Linked DNA regions of Danio rerio. The protein of the gene in region 5 interacts with the protein of the main gene of each other region in a biochemical or structural test. Links are inferred from orthologs where the notes say so. Each region holds a gene or a part of one and is shown on either strand. Other genes may lie near its edges.

Evidence for each region. The genes of interacting proteins can lie anywhere in the genome.
Region 1: the proteins of ikbkg (region 5) and irak1 form a complex in vitro, tested with the Homo sapiens proteins (3 studies listed by BioGRID). The link is inferred for Danio rerio from reciprocal best matches to the Homo sapiens genes IKBKG and IRAK1.
Region 2: the proteins of ikbkg (region 5) and senp2 form a complex in vitro, tested with the Homo sapiens proteins (2 studies listed by BioGRID and IntAct, with this or other methods). The link is inferred for Danio rerio from reciprocal best matches to the Homo sapiens genes IKBKG and SENP2.
Region 3: the proteins of ikbkg (region 5) and cyld form a complex in vitro, tested with the Homo sapiens proteins (3 studies listed by BioGRID, with this or other methods). The link is inferred for Danio rerio from reciprocal best matches to the Homo sapiens genes IKBKG and CYLD.
Region 4: the proteins of ikbkg (region 5) and rab11a are reported together in a solved structure, tested with the Homo sapiens proteins (2 studies listed by BioGRID, with this or other methods). The link is inferred for Danio rerio from reciprocal best matches to the Homo sapiens genes IKBKG and RAB11A.

Annotation. Positions count from the first base shown.
Region 1 is NC_133183.1:9,128,930-9,132,429, forward strand, and holds part of irak1 (interleukin-1 receptor-associated kinase 1), read right to left. Parts: intron 2,422-3,500; coding exon 2,241-2,421; intron 1,099-2,240; coding exon of another isoform or gene 1,095-1,098; coding exon 1,021-1,094; intron 902-1,020; coding exon 825-901; intron 1-824.
Region 2 is NC_133181.1:12,367,035-12,370,534, reverse strand, and holds part of senp2 (sentrin-specific protease 2), read right to left. Parts: coding exon 3,432-3,500; intron 3,351-3,431; coding exon 3,244-3,350; intron 3,161-3,243; coding exon 3,072-3,160; intron 2,958-3,071; coding exon 2,900-2,957; intron 2,814-2,899; coding exon 2,735-2,813; intron 1,719-2,734; coding exon 1,569-1,718; intron 555-1,568; coding exon 423-554; intron 1-422. UniProt on the Homo sapiens protein: Protease that catalyzes two essential functions in the SUMO pathway.
Region 3 is NC_133182.1:37,753,204-37,756,703, reverse strand, and holds part of cyld (ubiquitin carboxyl-terminal hydrolase CYLD), read left to right. Parts: intron 1-848; 5' UTR 849-987; coding exon 988-1,479; intron 1,480-3,500. UniProt on the Homo sapiens protein: Deubiquitinase that specifically cleaves 'Lys-63'- and linear 'Met-1'-linked polyubiquitin chains and is involved in NF-kappa-B activation and TNF-alpha-induced necroptosis.
Region 4 is NC_133193.1:20,520,465-20,524,001, reverse strand, and holds the end of rab11a (ras-related protein Rab-11A), read right to left. Parts: intron 3,250-3,537; coding exon 3,054-3,249; intron 2,580-3,053; coding exon 2,386-2,579; intron 2,290-2,385; coding exon 2,209-2,289; intron 1,759-2,208; coding exon 1,622-1,758; 3' UTR 501-1,621; downstream 1-500. UniProt on the Homo sapiens protein: The small GTPases Rab are key regulators of intracellular membrane trafficking, from the formation of transport vesicles to their fusion with membranes.
Region 5 is NC_133198.1:21,496,909-21,500,850, reverse strand, and holds the start of ikbkg (NF-kappa-B essential modulator), read left to right. Parts: upstream 1-1,142; 5' UTR 1,143-1,385; intron 1,386-3,830; 5' UTR 3,831-3,834; coding exon 3,835-3,942. UniProt on the Homo sapiens protein: Regulatory subunit of the IKK core complex which phosphorylates inhibitors of NF-kappa-B thus leading to the dissociation of the inhibitor/NF-kappa-B complex and ultimately the degradation of the inhibitor.

The DNA.
Region 1 (3,500 bases), on a different chromosome or scaffold from region 5:
CTAATAACATATTACTTAAGTTATCTGGAATGACAAAGAAAGCGTTCTTGCAGGACTCCCAGAGTTCATCAAGAATCTTTGGATTCATCTTCAGTGCCGCCTCCTTCATCTAACCCCAGACATGCTCAATAATGTTCATGTCTGGTGACTGGGCTGGCCAATACTTGAGCACCTTGACCTTTGCTTTCAGGAACTTTGATGTGGAGGCTGAAGTATGAGAAGGAGCGCTATCCTGTTGAAGAATTTGCCCTTTCCTGTGGTTTGTAATGTAATGGGCAGCACAAATGTCTTGAAATGTTGCCATCCATTATACAGAACTCACGCACACCTCCATACTGAATGTAACCCCAAACTATGATTTTTCCTTCACCAAACTTGACTGATTTCTGTGAGAATCTTGGGTCCATGTGGGTTCCAATAGGTCTTCTGCAGTATTTGTGATGACTGGAATTCAGTTCAACAGATGATTTATAGAAAAAAAAAATCTACCTTCTGCCACTTTTCCAAATGATAAACTAGAAGTCAAGTTATTATTTGTTGCACTTACAACTGGGATCGATGACAAGACTTTTATCAGGTAGTGTATAGAACAAAAAAATATACACAAGAATTCTGAACTTGACTTCATTCAATGTTCAGACTTTTAAGCTAGAAATCTATGCAAATTAGCACATATTTAATTAAATTACACCTTGTTTGAACATTTAAACAACATTTTATGAAGCTATTCTTACTATAATCATTCAACTCAGGATGTATGGTGAGAATTAGTTAACAGTTTTGTGCCCTTCACCTTCATTCTTTATCTTAATCAAACAAAATACCTCTTCAGTTGTTTTTGAGATTGTTGAGCTCACGGAGTCAGGTGGTGGAGGGCTAGGCCTGGGTAAAGGCCTGATCTCTGGAAACATAAAAGAGCCACTTTTAGCACAGATGTTATGATAAGTGAGCAACTGTTAGGTAATAATCAAAGTCATGTTTTATGTTAACATAAGGACTGTAGTAAGAATAACATGTTACCGGGGACAGGGAGATGCTCTTTGATAAATGTGACTGTACTGGGTTGTTGCTCTTTATGATTCTGTGGAAATTGTCTACCTGTGCACATGCATAAAAAAAAGAGCATTGATGGATTTATTATCTGAAACTATTGACAGGCAGTGCTTGTACAAATCATAACACAAGTACAATAAAAGCATATTTTCTATGCCAACATTTTTTATTTCAAACTAACGTTGTAATATATATATATATATATATATATATATATATATATATATATATATATATATATATATATATATATATATATATATATATATATTTTTTTTTTTTTTTTTTAATCATGTTTTCCATAAAATACAAGATTTGTTTTTAACATTAATATTAATAAGTATTTTATTACTATATAAATACTATATACTACATACTATATAAATATATACTATATAAATATTATTTATCATGTATGATTTATTATTGAACAATAAATCATGAGATAAGTAAATAAATATAAAAGTATTAAATATTATTAATAAATAAATATATTAAGTTTTATTGTTTCATATTTTTTGTAAGATCAGAGATATATATTTACATTACATTATATATATATATATTATATTATACATTTTTTATACATATATTTTAAGACAAAAATTATCTACAATCATTCATGATAGACAGATAACCCAATAACATGAATATCTAGCAAATGATGCCAGTAAGTCAAGTTTGTAGAATAATTTATGCTCCAACATATAAAGTCAATGAATGTGTTATTTGTTTAATTTTTTTTTAATCAGTGAATATGGATTTAAAAATCTACATTTTTTTAATTGATGTGACAAGCCAGTGTATAAATACATATACTGTTAGTATATTTATTTTCATAATATAGGTATCAGTATTGATTGCTGAAATGCCTTTCTACAGATTTGAGTTCAGATTTACAGGCAGAACAAGTCAATTCATTTTGATGAAAGTTAACAACAAACAGGTTTTAAAATATACATTGACGGATCACAAGCAGTAAACAAGTAAACCAAATAAGAACGTGGGAAATATAAGCACAACTGAGAAATTTCACATCTGACTGACAGCATAGTTCTTTCTTGAACCATGGAATGTGAAACTTTAGATTATAAAGCGAGTAACGTGATAACCACAAAACCCAACTGATAACCTGCTTGGCACATAGATGTGGTAAAAAAATCAAAAAAAGGAAGAAGAAAAAAAACCTACATAGTTGTGCTTTGAGAATGATATCACGAGCTCTGAACCACTGGAGTCCCTCAAGAATCTTCAGCAGTGCTCCAACTGTCCCATTGCGACAACCCCAATTGTGCATGAGGTTACTCGTCCGTCGAGGGCTTTGCTCCAAAAGGCGTAGTTCAGTCTGATCTGATATGATTTGTGAAGCTGCAAGGACATAAAATACTTTAATTGGCAAGCAAAATGAGAGTGTTATGAAATTGAATGGGAATTCTATCCAAAACTGAATAGCTAATTTAGTTCTTCAAACAAGTTCAGATTAAAATATCTGGATGAACTGATCTGAGATTACTGCGTTCTTGTTGTGAAGGACTTCATTTATTATTTATCCTCAAAATCATGATCAACAAAACAACGATTGACTGGCAGCAAGACAGCTGTGAAAGGACATCATCTGATTAATATAACGGGTGTCATGGTGGCTCAGTGGTAGCACTGTCGCCTCACAGCAAGAAGGTCACTGGTTCGAGTTCTGGCTGGATCAGTTGGCATTTCGGAGTGGAGTTTGCATGTTCTCCCCATGTTCGCGTGGGTTTCCTCTGGGTGCTCCAGTTTCCCTCACAGTTAAAAGACCTGCATAAATAAATAAACTAAATTGGCCATAGTGTGCGAGTGTGAATGTGAGAGTGTATGGGTGTTTCCCAGTGCTGGGTTATGGCTGGAAGGGCATCCGCTGTGTAGAACATATGGTAGAGAAGTTGGCGTTTCATTCCACTGTGGCAACCCCTGATGAATAAATGGACTAAGCCGAAGGAAATGAATGAATGAATGAATAAATGATTCATATTCTAGCCATGTGAGCAAAATGACATCGAATTGGTAGTAACTGAAAAGGTTTGTTAAATGATATGCTATAATATTTCACATTTGTTGCCGGTATGGCTGCACAATAATGGAAAAATTTACAATGTTGTTGAGTGCTAACATTTTTTTTAAAGATATAACTAACTTGCAATATGCTATTTTATCAGCAACCTTTTTTAAACACTTTAATATGTAATGATCATACTAAAATAAACAGGTAATGAGCAATTCCATGCAAATGTCAACCTTGCCATGAAAAAAATTACGTTTTCGCCAAAATAGCGAAACTGTTTCTGGTTAATGTATCTATCAGTGTTTTCAAACTATTATATTTGATTTACCAAAGTCACACAAGTGGCAATTTTACATCTGTCATATCCATAACAGAGAGATGTCACATCCATAACAAAGCTTTTTCATCA
Region 2 (3,500 bases), on a different chromosome or scaffold from region 5:
TTGATATGATGACAGTACATAATATTTTACTAGACATTTCTCAAGATTAGTATTCACCTTAAAGTGACATTAAAAGGCTTAACTAGGTTAGATTTAGGCAAGTCAGGTTAATTATGCAAATCATTGTATTAGGATGGTTTGTTCTGTAACAATCAAAAATTAATAATGCTTAAGGAGGCTAATAATGCTGACCTTAATTGTTTTTTTGGTTTTTTTTATTAAAAACTGCTTTTATTCTAGCTGAAAAAAAAAGACTTTCTCTAGAAAAAAAAGATCTTAAAGGAAATACTGTGAAAAATTTCTTGCTCTGTTAAACATCATTTGGGAAATAATTAATAATGAAATGAAATTTTAACTTTATGCAGTAAATAACTGTACTGACATTTTGTGTTGTTCGAATAAAACCCTTAAAATGACATTACCTCATCATTGAGCCAGCTGCCCTCTTGTAGTGTTGCCAGATCTCTCTGTGTGATACGCAGTTTGAAAGCACTGCACAAAACCAGGTTTGGATCACTCTGAGCAAGAGCAGCACTCACTTCCTGCTGCATCTCCTGTTACAGGACACAAAGAGAACACTGTGACTCAAACCACAAGGAAAACAACCAAGCTGACAACTAATGCATGAGTGAAAACAAATACACTGTATTACAACAACAATAACAACAAAAAAGGTTTACATTACAATATTTCTCTTGTTAAGGAGTTCGCTTTAGTGATATCAACGTTTAATTAAATCATTAGTTTATCAAGAGTATTTTCATAGAAAAAATTATTTGTAAAATTCTTCGAAATTAAGGGCGCACTCACACTAGGTTAACCGAAACATTCCCGGGCACGTTTCCCGGTTTGATTGAAAAGTTTGAGTGCTCTGAATCGGGCCCAGGTGCAGTTCAGTTGGCTGGCTGTGGCCTGGTTAAAGGAGGTGTGCCAGAGCGTGGTTCAGTTGTGCTCAGGCACGGTAGGCTTGTAGTGTGAGCGTAAAACTGAAGACACAACTTCACTTTTCATATGGATTTATTAATCATTCTTACTTTTCAATGAACGCAAACTGTCCTAGTTTCTCAAAGATGCAAACCCCTCTTGCTGCACCTTCAGGAAACCTCTTAATACATGATGCACGAGGAAATTTATGCTAATTTATGAGCGTCAAAAGTGGTGAATCTGTTCTGCATTATATAACTAAAGCAATGTCCACTGTGCTGAGCGAGAGCGCTTTCATTCCTGTTAAACTGAACAGTCGTATCATCGATGTTGTAAGCGTGCTCCGGCTTGAAATGTAATGCAGTGTGAGTGCAGGCAGTCATGACTTTTGACAGTAAAAGTCATGACTTTTCAGTGTCAATGCAACTGCTTATATCTGTAATAAGTGGATGTGATTAAAAAAAAAAATTTAAAATGAGCACAAAACAGCCCAATTTGAATTTTTAGCAATTAAAGTTTAGAGCAACAGGTTTGAAATATTTTCCAGTAATAAAAAAATGTTTTCATGCAAGTATCTTGAAAATAAAAGTAGAATTAACCCACTAAAACATCAATCTGAGAGAGACTGAGGTGACCGTAACAACCTTGGTCAGTCTGGGAAACTCCTCTTCACCACGCCTCACTGCATCTGTAATCACTTCAGATCTGGAAGGTATCAGAAGTCCAACAGCAGAATCCTTGTCCTTCAGATTTAACCTGGCTTCAACCTCAGCTGACAGATCAACATCTACAGCCTGAAGAGAAGGTGAGAAAGAAGGTGTTAGAGGGAGAAAAAGACACTACAAGGAGCCATTATTGCATTATGTTGCTTTAAAATGTGGTCAAAATACAGCTACACTAGGCCTGTCACGATACCTATTTTTTGTCGAATGATACATTGCACCAAAATATATCGCGATAAACAATATTAATGTAATTTTAAGACATTTTTGCAGCTCGTTATACAATGCCAAAATGACAATATAATAGCATCATTACGCAAGAATACTCTCCCAAAGAATACATCATATTTTATTCCTAAAAATATTTTAATTAGTCATTTTAACAATTTAATAATTAGGCATTGGAATCAGAATGTAAAAACGCATAATCCTAAATAATCAATAATAAAAAGTGCAAGGTAAAAAGTACCAGATGCTGCGATCAATTGTCAGACACCCACATGAAAATGAACTAAAGTCATTTACAGTAAATACTATACTGTTTTTTTTAACCACACTGACACCTCCAATAGATATAGAGATCATGTCCATGTGTTGTGCGATAACTTGATGTATTGATTATTGTGACAGGCCTAAGATACACAGAAAACAATAAATAATTTAAAAAAGAAAATTACGTTATTATTAGTCTGCAAAATAATAATTTCAGTCAGTGTAAAGCAGAAGATGCTGAGACTTCATTTCAGTATGTACTTCCAACTGTAACAAAATATTGAGTAGGGGGTGGGGCTTTCATTTTGCACATCACTCCCTCATAGCAAACTAATGGTAAAAGGGGTGTGGTTAAGGATATTAATATACAGTTGCTATGGAAACCCTCCTACTGACCTCAACAGAAGGATCACCACTCCAAAGGTAAGAGCAAATGGTCAAACTTTGATTGATTTAATAAAACTAACTTTTTTTCAGTAGATTAACTTGCACAGATTAATTGTTCACTTTAAGAGTAACAAACGTGAGCTAGCAAAATAAACATTGTACATTTTGATTTCACATGACACTTTACAGCACATGAAGCAAGCACTTACGGTTTTTCGTGTAGTTTGATTATCCAAGGCTCCTTCCTTGACATCACTTCCTGTTGTGCTTCGATGACCATCCACTGTTCTGTCACAGTTGAAAAATAAACAGAAATGAATCTTTCTGCATTCAGCAAACGCATATAAGGATTATGTGGCATGTTGAAGTATTACCTGTCTTTAATCTGCGTCAGGGATAGTGGATCCCGCCACATAGAAATGTTAGGGATGACTTAAGGCAATTAGGCAAACAGAAAATGTAAGTATAATGGAACTCTTCATCAAACACTTATGAAAAAATGTGAAGTTCTAATAACAGTGAAGATTAATTTAAATAAACTCTCACCTCTTACTGGCGCAGGTCTGTTCAAGTCAGTAGTGCGACAGATGGAGGTGTGTCCACTGACCTTGTGTCCATCAATGGGGAAAGCGGTGCTAAAAGATTTGATTGAAAACAGTGTTAACTTGCACCAGCTAAGCTGTGGTGATTTAAAAACATATATAATTTATGTGCTTACATGGAAGGCTTTATCCGTCCAAACGGCAATGGTTTGCTCTTTGAATATTTTTCAGATGCCATCTCCACTAGCTTCCTATAATGCTCTCGATCACTCTCTCTCAATGCCTAATCAAAAGAAAGATGCTCAGGAAGCCATGTATTTAAAAAAAGGTACTAAGTTACAACATTACAACTCAGTTTGCTAACCTCCTCCACGGTCAGGCAAGGTTTGGGTGTGCGGCTTGGGAGCTCCATCTCAGCCTGTCTTGAATTTAG
Region 3 (3,500 bases), on a different chromosome or scaffold from region 5:
TAATTAAACAATCAATTTTGGGTAACACTTTATTTTGATGGTCCATTTGAGTATTAGTAGACTGTTTGCTTATTGTCTGTTGATACTGCTCCTTTAACAGACATTTAATTGACTATAAGAAACTTTGCAAGTACATGTCAACTTACACTAACCCTAACCCCAACCCAACAGTCTACTTATAATCTAATGAGAATTAGTTGCAATGTAACTTAAATTCAACAAACGGACCATTAAAATATAGTGTTACCTAATTTTGTTCAAGTGGCAAACTTTATAATTTATTGTGACCTAAGGGTTTAAATTGGCTTTAAATCTTAGTCACAGGCCTAAAAACACATCCAAGTAAGTCAATCTTTCACACTGTTAGATTATGGTTAAACTTAACAATGACTCCACAAATCATGTCTTCTGAATTGTGGTTTCTGGTTAATTATGATCCCAACTTGACAGTGCAGATCCTGCGATTGGACCATTGAAGAATCGCAAGTTGCGATATCAAAGCAGAAACGATATATTGTGCAGCCCTAGTATGTAGTGACGCTGATGATTTCCATTATTGTAGATGTTTTTTTCATATAGACCTTTATTTTTTGACAGTAATGGAAACAAAGTTGTTCAGCTGATGAAGCGTCTTTCTATAAAAAAGGAATTTCTTTGAACCTATAAAATCTATGACTGTAAATCTATGCCTTACAGCCTCATTTTTATCCATGCCAAATTGAATGTGTTAAAGTGGGGTTTCAGCGTGACAGACATAAACATTTTATTAGAAATTCTGATCTAAAAAACAGACCCATCTCAAACAAAGCAAGACTAACCTCATTCTAAATGCTTCTTTTTTCTTCCAGTACTTTATGTCTTTTCAGTCCATCCATCCTATTAAAAAGATCATGAAATCTTCCACTTCCTGGTCAAACTGACCACAGACGACCCTCTGAGGTTTATCGTGTGTTCCTGTCATCTTCAACCCACTCCTGCTATGCAGCCATGAGCTCTACGCTATGGAGCCAGGAGAAGCCAGGGGGCAGTTTCCGGGACGATTGGCGTTTCTACATTGTGGTGAAGGAATGCACGGTGGAAAGGCCAGGCCAGAAGACTCTGCGCATCCCACGGGGCAGCCTAGGTCAGGCCTGCCAGGAGCGCAACAGCCTCGGACGCACAATCCCAGCCAGCAAAGGTAAACGTAGCCTACGCATCCTGGACCAGACCAATGTAGTGGTGAGCGTGGATGAACGGGATGTGATGGAGCTCGAGGAGAAGCTGGCGGAGCTACTGTTCCCTATCACCAACTGTGAAGAGCGTTACAGCCTGCTGTGTAACAGGTCGCGTCTGGACAGGGCCCGCGACATCAACTGTGGGTCAAAAGTTCGAGTGCAGCTTAGGTCAGGCGATGAACCTCTCCCAGGCGTTGTCCGCTTTAAAGGAGCTTTGCTGCCTGATCGAGCACTGAGTGGGATCTGGTTTGGTGTCGAACTGCTGGTGAGTGAAACTGTTTGTCATGTTTGATGGTAAATATTTGGGATTGGGCTCACCTTTGATCTTAAAGTGTGTGATCTAGGGCTGGGTGATATTGCAAAAAAAAAATCATAATATCATGTTTCATATCATTCGATATCGATAATTATTGAATATTTTTCAACAATACATTCAGGAATATTCTATTTTTTTATTTAACCACTTTATTATAATTTACCAACATTACCAAGGCAAATAGTTTTAAGCAAAGTGTGTTCAATGGTAAAGGTAGATCAACATCTGTAAGTTGTGAATAATAATGATAGGGTAAACCTCAAACTCTGTAAACAAAACAAATTATGAAAATCAAATCCGAGCTTTCAAGTAAAGAAACTAACCATCATTATTCAAATACATATTGCAACATTTCACATTGTGAAGTTGAATGATCACAATACCCACTATGCTAAAAAAAATCTTTCAGATGGGGAGCTAGTGGCTGGGATGCACAAGAAAAAAAAAAGCCACTTTGGATATATTTTAATTTTCTTTTTTATTTCAATCTCCTCACTGCTGCTATACAGCACTCATTTTCGCATGTGTTGTTATTCTGACCTGAAGTGACAAGCCTGAGAGGATGCTTCACTATTTTCTACGGCGTCTCTCATAACAAGGTGACCATTTTCTCAGAGAATGACAAACAAAGAACATTGCTGCCACTCCAATACAAGTTAAGAAAAATAAACAGCACTGCAGTGTTTGGGTGCGGTGTGTTTGTCTCAGGTAATTAGTCTGCTTTTACTAAAATGTGTATATTTCATCCAAAGTGTGAAGCAGAATGGTTAGTTCTAATCGCGGTGCGCTCACGGCATTCTGAAAAGTTCAGATGTTTTTCAATTAGGTGTACCTGGAAAATGTCTCTCTCCCTGTTAAATTTGATCTAATCCGTGTCCTGAAACACACCTCCTCTCCAGCTTTCACTTCTCATACTGACGGAGGGAACGATTTGTTTGTGAATGAATCTCTGTTATGAACGACTCGTTTACTAGCCGACAATAATACAAGTTTCTGGCATCGCAGCATCTTGTTGTCATATTTCTTTTGCATTGTTTGCTGATTTTATTCAACAAAGCTAGCATAAGCCGAGTATTTAGTGCGAATTGGAGCTACTTTGCCTTATGATGAATGCAATAAGTGACTGTGAAATGTTCTGGCTTTGTGCTTTGTTTTCTTTGTTTGCTCTTTACTACACTCGTAGACAGCGCTAAAGTCCCGCATCTTCACGTAATAATACTGTCTTGTCTAGTGCGGTTGAATGACACTTGTCCTGGGAGCACTGTACCAATGTGGCGGCGCTATAGACGCATGCTCAGGGTCCCTATGCGATATCTAGTGTATATATCTATGTCACAAATTGAGGAGCGGGGAAAGGAGGCGGGGTGGAGCGACAACACGGGGAATCCTTCACAAACTGAGGAGCAATCACAAACCGAAAGCAGCGAGAGTGTCAAAGTAGTCAGAAGTCATTTATTTTTTAATGAGAACCGGCGCCGAGAAACATCAGCGCGTCTTCATTGGCTATGACGCGGTTCGGCGGCAAGCAATCAGAATGAAGTATTCCAACGCTTGAGAGGAGTTCAGAGAACACAGACCTGTGAACTTTGGTTCCCACCACAGTTGTTCCCAAGAGTTTGATTATTGTGGTTCCTGGATTTTCAATTATTGAAAATCGCAACGACGTGGGGCCTCCTAATCACGCGGGGCCCTCCTGCGGGCCCGTCCGCTACGCCACTGCATGAATCAGATATGGGTCACAATTTAAAGAATGTGTAAATGGACAGGCAAAAAAATCAGATATAGACAACAAATTAGAATTTGGCATCAAGACCTGACAGTGTAAACGTGGCCTTGGATTGGGAGATTCTGTAGAGCATAACATATAATAAACAATCCGCAAGCTTTCATAAATACAATAAAGAAAGAGATACAGCTGAAATTAGCAGTATTTTATTGTTTCCGAGTACTCAAACAATATTTAGGTACAG
Region 4 (3,537 bases), on a different chromosome or scaffold from region 5:
TGGTTTTGCCCCATCTGCTGGAATCAAGACGAAGACATAGTGTAGGCTAAAACACATAATACATTCAGAAATGATCTTAACGAGTCCCATCGCTTCCAGATTGAAGGCTAACAACTGGATTTAAATGACTACCACAGAATAAATATAAGTTACACGTCTTAAGGTCATTACTACTGTAGTGGCGGGAGGGAAAAAAAATCTAATCGGGATATATTTTACATTCAGTGCAAAAAAATAAAGAAAGAAAGTATCCAGTCTATTCCCTAGAGTGCTCTCATGTGATGTGGCCATCGACTGGCCGCTGTTTTGTGTTTTCTTGTTCTGACTCTCAAGGATAGTTCAACTAAAACTGAACATTCGCTGCTGATTTACCTGACTTTTTACCTTTGGTAGATAATTAAAGTAGATTTTTAGCTGAAACCTTTGTTTTGGTGGATCATACTTTCACTCGACATTTAGTTTGCTCAGGAAATCAGGAGCCAAAGGTATTTATTTTGTTCTTTTAAAAGACTAAGCTGTAGTTTCCACTTAAAAAAGATCTGTTCTGACATTCTACTGCTGAAATATAGTCAGTAAACAAACAGCAGAATTTCAATTTTTAGGTGAACCATGACTTTAATGCCAGAGTGTGACCTGCAAAATCATGACGTGTTTGCGGTTATGAACATGTTACATGTAGAGGAAGTCTCTTTTCCCTCATTTCACACTGAAAACATTTGTGGTAGTGTTTCAAATACAACATTCCCCTCTTCATGAATTATGACATCAGTTTTTGTTTATTAGAAACTGAAGCTTCTCCAAGACTACAGCTGAAAGGGCTGGTGACAGCGAAAGAGAAGGTCTATAAGACTATATTCGAGCGTGTGATGAAGGCCTCGCAGCACCGGCACGGACAGCAGTAAAGCACATGCATGAAAGCATCCGCACGTGACGTTCATCAAAAAAGGCACTAAAACCACTAATCTACCTCAATGCAAAAGAAGCACATGATGGCCAAGAGAAAAGAGCGCAGAAGCTACGTGCCTGATGGTGAAATTCAATGCCGCCCCGTGCCGAATGCATGAAGGAAGTGGGAATGCGAATGTAAACCATACTTGGAAGATGGACAAAAAAGGTGAAGACTGTGGTCTTTGGGCCCTAATCATCATCTAACATCTATCAGGTACATCATCTTTCTACAATCACAACATTAAATATAGCAAAACCTCCAATACTGCACGTTTCTCCCCTCCACCCCAGACACGACAGTGACGAGGGGGCTGCTACTAAAGACATACATGAGTGAACCTCACACGTTTGCGAATGAAATTATATATTAAGACATTTCAGTGAAGATCGGCACAAATGATTATTAAAATTCTGCAATATAAAAGCCTACCATGGCAGGAAGGAGAAAACCAACCGAAAAAAAAAAACAACCAAAAAAAACAACAAGCTTAGTCCAGACTGCAGGTGGTGACCCTTTGAGACTCAGCTTTGGAACCGGCCTCTGTGCTCAAGCCTAGTTGTGCAGCTGCATCTCAGACCCAAAGCAGTCTTGAAGAGGAGGGGAGGAGGGGGTGTTGCAGGTGGGCGTGTGGGGGATTTGGGGGGGGGGGGGGTGGATTCGGTACAGGAGTCGCTAGATGCTCTGGCAGCACTGCATCTTTGGTTTATTCTCAGTAGGTTGCACCTGGATGGACACCACATTGTTGCTAGGTGACATGTCATTGTCTCGGCGGTCAGACATCTGCTTTTGGGATACGATTCGGTAGATTTCTGCAGGACAGAAAGACAATCAAAAACTTGTATATGAACTTTGTTTTGCCATACATCCGTGCTGTTATTACTGGATGTCAGGGCCGATGCAATTACAGCATCGCAACTGACAGCAATGCCTCTGAAACATTTATTATTTGTTCTTCCTCTGCAGATGCCAGGAGCTGAACAGAGGAGCAAAAGACGACAGAAACTCTCTATGGCAGTCACGTCAGGCCAGAGAAACCTACCCGACCAAGGCAGGGCTTTTGATGAGTCATTCATAAGGATATGGCCTTCGGCCAATCATTTACCATCTCTTTTTCTCCCAGTTTAGACTAACACAGTCATTTCCTCAAGCCTGTATTTCTTCAAGAAAAATGCTGCCATTACAAAAACAAAAGTTTACCATCCTTAACCTTGCACACTGATAAGTATCTGCTGAAAAAGGTTTTTGGAAAGAACACTCACCAGTCAGGATGGTCTGAAAAGCAGTCTCTACATTGGTGGAATCCAAAGCTGAGGTCTCTAGGAAGGACAGACCGTTTTTCTCTGCAAATATGGTTGCAAAAAAGTGGAAGAGTATGGATTAATGCCTCAGCAATACACACAAGCAGCACTATCAGAAGTTAATGGTTCACCTCTAACCTGCAAATGCACGTGCTTCGTCAGTGGGCACAGCCCGAAGGTGACGCAAGTCACTTTTATTGCCCACCAGCATGATGACAATGTTGCTGTCTGCGTGGTCTCGGAGCTCCTTAAGCCAGCGTTCCACATTCTCATAGGTCAGATGCTTGGCGATGTCATACACTAGGAGGGCCCCCACAGCTCCACGGTAATACCTGTTAGCCAGCAAATCAAATGAAGATGGAAAATAAAAGGGCTATATATGAATTTTGTTTGGAGTATGAATAACATATTAATTAATGTACCTTAAAAAAATTGGCCTCACCAGTATTCCTAGGGTTAAGCCTGTTAACTGCTTTTTATGTAAAGGATTTTAAACATTTTTGCTCAAAAACTCAAAGATGTACCCTCCAGAGCCTCTTTTTTCTGTTTTATGATGCATGAAATAAATGCTTACACAACGATAATGCACAAGTGTCATTCTGCACAGTAACGTCAAAAAAAAAGGTGTTAATTAATCTATAGTCTCAAATATGCTTAACTATATCAGTGTACAATATTGTTTGTCTTTGCCATTGTGTTTAAGTTGTGTTTTGGAGGAATATCACAAGATTAAAATAACTTCTATAGAGATCTTTGCTATGAACAGGCAGTTAAACTTTAAAACTGGAATCTGTAATAAGTCTTACGCTGAAGTGATGGCTCGGTAGCGCTCCTGTCCTGCCGTGTCCCAGATCTGAGCCTTGACGGTCTTTCCATCCACCTGAATGCTACGTGTGGCGAACTCCACTCCAATAGTGCTTTTGCTCTCGAGGTTGAATTCATTGCGAGTGAAACGAGACAGCAGGTTACTCTTCCCCACACCAGAGTCTCCAATTAGGACCACTTCAAAATAAAACACAACATGGTGTAATATCTGACATAGATCACATAACAAATTAGGCTTCTCACATTATTTACTCAAGCCTTGTGTCTTTCCAAACTACTACACTGATTAAATAAACGATTCTGTGATGAAGAAAATACTAAAACATAAAAAAACATTAAACAATAAAGTCAGCAATGAAAATCAATATTCTAAATTACTGCTCAATAAAATTTCTAAAAAGTATATTTTTCTTTGAATCCTTTGTTGTTTTGGTCGTGACTCCCAAATATATATGAAAGCAATAA
Region 5 (3,942 bases):
TCTAAATTACATATTGACATAATCTTCTTAATGTTTTATAATTGGAGTCAGATAAAACGAGGATAAATATATTAATATTCTAAACCACCTCATATTAAAATTGGAGTCAGATATGAGTTAAGTTTAATATAAATCAACATTGTGCACTGGAAAGACCGAACATGCAGTGAACCTTCATCCACCATTGGATACCGTCATTGAACCAACTGGCTGGACCTTACAAGTGGATGAAAACATCCCCAACCCTACATAAAGCTTAATCAAAAATATTTTCTCACCAACAAGGTCAATGAAGATAAATAAATTGAATCAACAATTTTTTTAAATTGATCAACAAATTTTATCCCATAAAACTATTTTTGAAAAAGTTTCATGCTAATATTGATGTAAAATGTTCATTTTGTCAATTTTATACAGAAACAGTTTTTCATTTATTTTGGGAGTGTAATTATGCTTTACAATTTTGGGAACATATTGGCTCATTTATTAATGATAATATACAATACAATGTTTCTGTTACTTTTAAAGAAATTATTTTTTGTTATGAATCTGCCTCTACTAAGAGAAATGCTTGTTTTGTTATAAATTTAATTTATTTTCTTTGTAAATTCCATATCCACAAATGCTAATTTACTAATACTAAACCATATTTTCCTTTTTTTTTTTGCAAAATTTAGTCATTATATACATTTATTTTAATTTTCTAAAAATAAAAAAACAAACAGAACTATTTCAATTCGTAATGACTTTAATTTATGTTCTGTTATTGCTTCTTAAATGTCTTACCCTCAAGTTTATATCATGTTCTTTATTCTTTTTTCTTCTCTCTTACTCTCTCGTATCTCTTTTTCATTGACAATGTAATTCATATTCTGTATTGTAAACAAATATTGCTACAAAGTTGTCAACTGTTTTTTTGCAAAAAAAAAAAAAAAACTACATAAAGGTTTCCAAAAGTGAAATATATTAACATATGGGTTTTCAGAAAAGTAAGCGTATATGGATATCCTGAAGACATGAAAACAGTTAAATCCTAATTTTAAGAAGGCATCGCTCAATAACTTCATTTTGACTAACTTATTTGCTGTCATTTTTGTCTTCCCATAATTCCCCTACCCGGAAACAGCACGCAGCGCGGAAGTACACGGGGGATTTCCTCGACAGTGTGGGCACCTGTCTGAACTCTTCTAGACGTTTTCATTTGATATACTTTATCAATCTCGAATTCTCGATTCAGACTTTCCAGCTCGGTGGTGTTGAAGATGTTGGCCTACCTGAGCGTCCGTGGCTGACTTTAAACCTGCCTGTGTTTCCTCGGCGGAAGACCGACAGACAGTGAATCTGTGCTAGCGCAGAGTCAAAACACTGTTAACGGCGTAAAGAAGGTAGTGATTACTCTCATATTTTATCATACGATATGTTTATCAATGTCTTCATGTGTATGTAATGAATGTGAGTCGTGTTAGTGTGTGATTTTAAATGTTTATTGGTTTAAATGCGGTAAAGCTAGTTGTGTTGTTAGCTGAGCGCGTCCATCACGAGCCTGTAAACAAAACAAAACCGAGTCTCGTATATCGGATAACTGCTAATTTCAATCACAGTATTGGACTTAAAGTGTCTTTGAGGATTGAGGTAAAATTGTTTTTATATTCGTTCTTTCTCTTTAATAATATAATTTCAGAAAAGTATTCTTTGCGAATTCTAAATAGGGAAAATCATAATAAGTAGACAAAGATGATCATAGTACAACATTGTACACAGTCAATGACATAGTGCTAACTGTTAATGTTGTTTTTAAATCATACTAACATGCTATTTCAGACTTAATATTCAAAGTAGCGTGGTAAACAATATGGGGACAGTGTTACAAGTTATCAGTGAATGAATGTGCAAATTTACCTCAGTCTTTTAAACCTCGCGCGTTTGTCTTTAACTTGTGAAATAATCTTTGTTTTGACAGCGAGATATCATGACATCGACTTTGTTTTCAACTTTGATATTTGATATTTCTTTTCAAATGTTTTAGAGGTCGTTAATATGGCGAAAGTGTCATTGAATGACTCATAAGTTATCTGTGTCTTGTTGAAAAGTGAAACAGTAAAAGCAGAATTGAACGTGAGACATGTATAAAATGATATAGCTTTACATGTTAAAGCTAGTAACATGAACAGGTACAGGTATTATCATTTACATATTGTCAAAATGTGGTTACTGGTAACATTTTACAATATGGTTCCATTTGTTAGGATTAGATAACATGAGCTTACTCTGAATACAATTCAATTAATTTCTATAGCGCGTTTACTATGTAGATTGTGTCAAAGTAGTTTAACATAGCAGTTCTAGTAAATGGAAACTGTCAGTCCAGTCTTCTGAGTTGGTTCAGTTTAGTTCGGTGTGGTTTAAATTTCATGGCTGAAAGTCCAAACACTGAAGAGCTAATCCTTTGATGCGCAGCTCCACAAGTCCCAAACCAAGCAAGCCAGTGGCAGCAATGACGAGGAACAAAACTTTACTAAATAAATTAAGTGAATGAAAAAAATAAAAAATCCTTTAGAGAAACCAGGCTTAGTTGGGCACAACCATTTCTTTTCTGCCCAAACTTCCTGTGCAGAACTGAATTTTTTTAAATGAAATTTTAGGCTTTATTTATAAAACATTTACACATAAATTAGTGAAATCAAGGTAGTTCACTTAAAAATGAACATTTTGTAAACATTTACTTACTCGCCCTCTACTTGTTTCACATCTGTTTGAGTTTGATATACTGAAGAATGCTGGGAAAAGCAGCCATTGACATACTTTCACTTTTTCTACTAGGAATGTCAATGTTTTTAATAAAAGTTTAGAAACACTTGAGGGTGAAGAAATGGTTTGGGTGAAATGTCACTTTAATATTATTCAATGGATTCGAGCTAACTGTCTTAATATTCTAACTAATTCTATTAACTATTTTAATAACATTACAAGTTGTATAATTATTCAACTTTAGTATGTTTTACAATTGTTATTTTATTAACAATTTAAATAAGTTAATAGAACTTTAAATGTAAAGTTATTATAAAATAATTTTGTGGTGCATATGTCATTTTAATATATGGAGTTTTGTTTCCATTTTAGTTTTATTGATTGTATTTAAGCTGTTAAGTTTAGCCTGCTTACACTGTAAAAAATGTAATAACAAAGTCAAGGCAACATATATTTTTATGTTGCTTTTATTTTAATTAGTTAGTCAGCTTTCAATTATATTGTAACTTATACAAAGTTTATTTTTATACATTTTAGTCAGTTTAATTGATTTTAATTTAAGTTTAATTTAGTTAAGATGACTACAAAAGTTCATTTAATTTTCATTTAAACAGTTAAGGCAGCAAGTTTTTCTTTTTCAATTTACTTGTTTGTTTTAGTTTTGTGTTTACGTGCAAGCAATGTAAAATTTTTAGACCAAACAGAGATAACAAATATTTATGAATTCAATTGCAAAAGTCACAAATACAGGTCATAATTGATATAAAGTGTACTACATGTTTTCAATGATTTGAAATACACAATTGAAATGCGTACACCATTAATTTCTTTTCAGAAAACTTTTTAAAACTATTTTTACAATGATTCCTAAATAGTAATAATAAACGTATTACTCATTGCTAGTTAAAGCATGAACAAATGGGACCCTGATTGTAAAGTGTTATCACCATTATTATTTATCCACCGCAGAAATTATTCTAAATTTATCTGAATATTTTCATCCAAGAATCTTAAAGCACTGCAGTAGTCTTGGTGATTAAGAGCTGTAGATGATCAATGCGGTCTTTTGTTGTGTCTGTCAGGATCATGGTCCAGCCGCAGCCGTCCGGTGGCTGCACTCTGCAATATGAGTTGAACGGAGAAGAGACCGCAGGTTCAGAAGGTCAAGTCTCACTCATGGCCAGTTCACAGGGC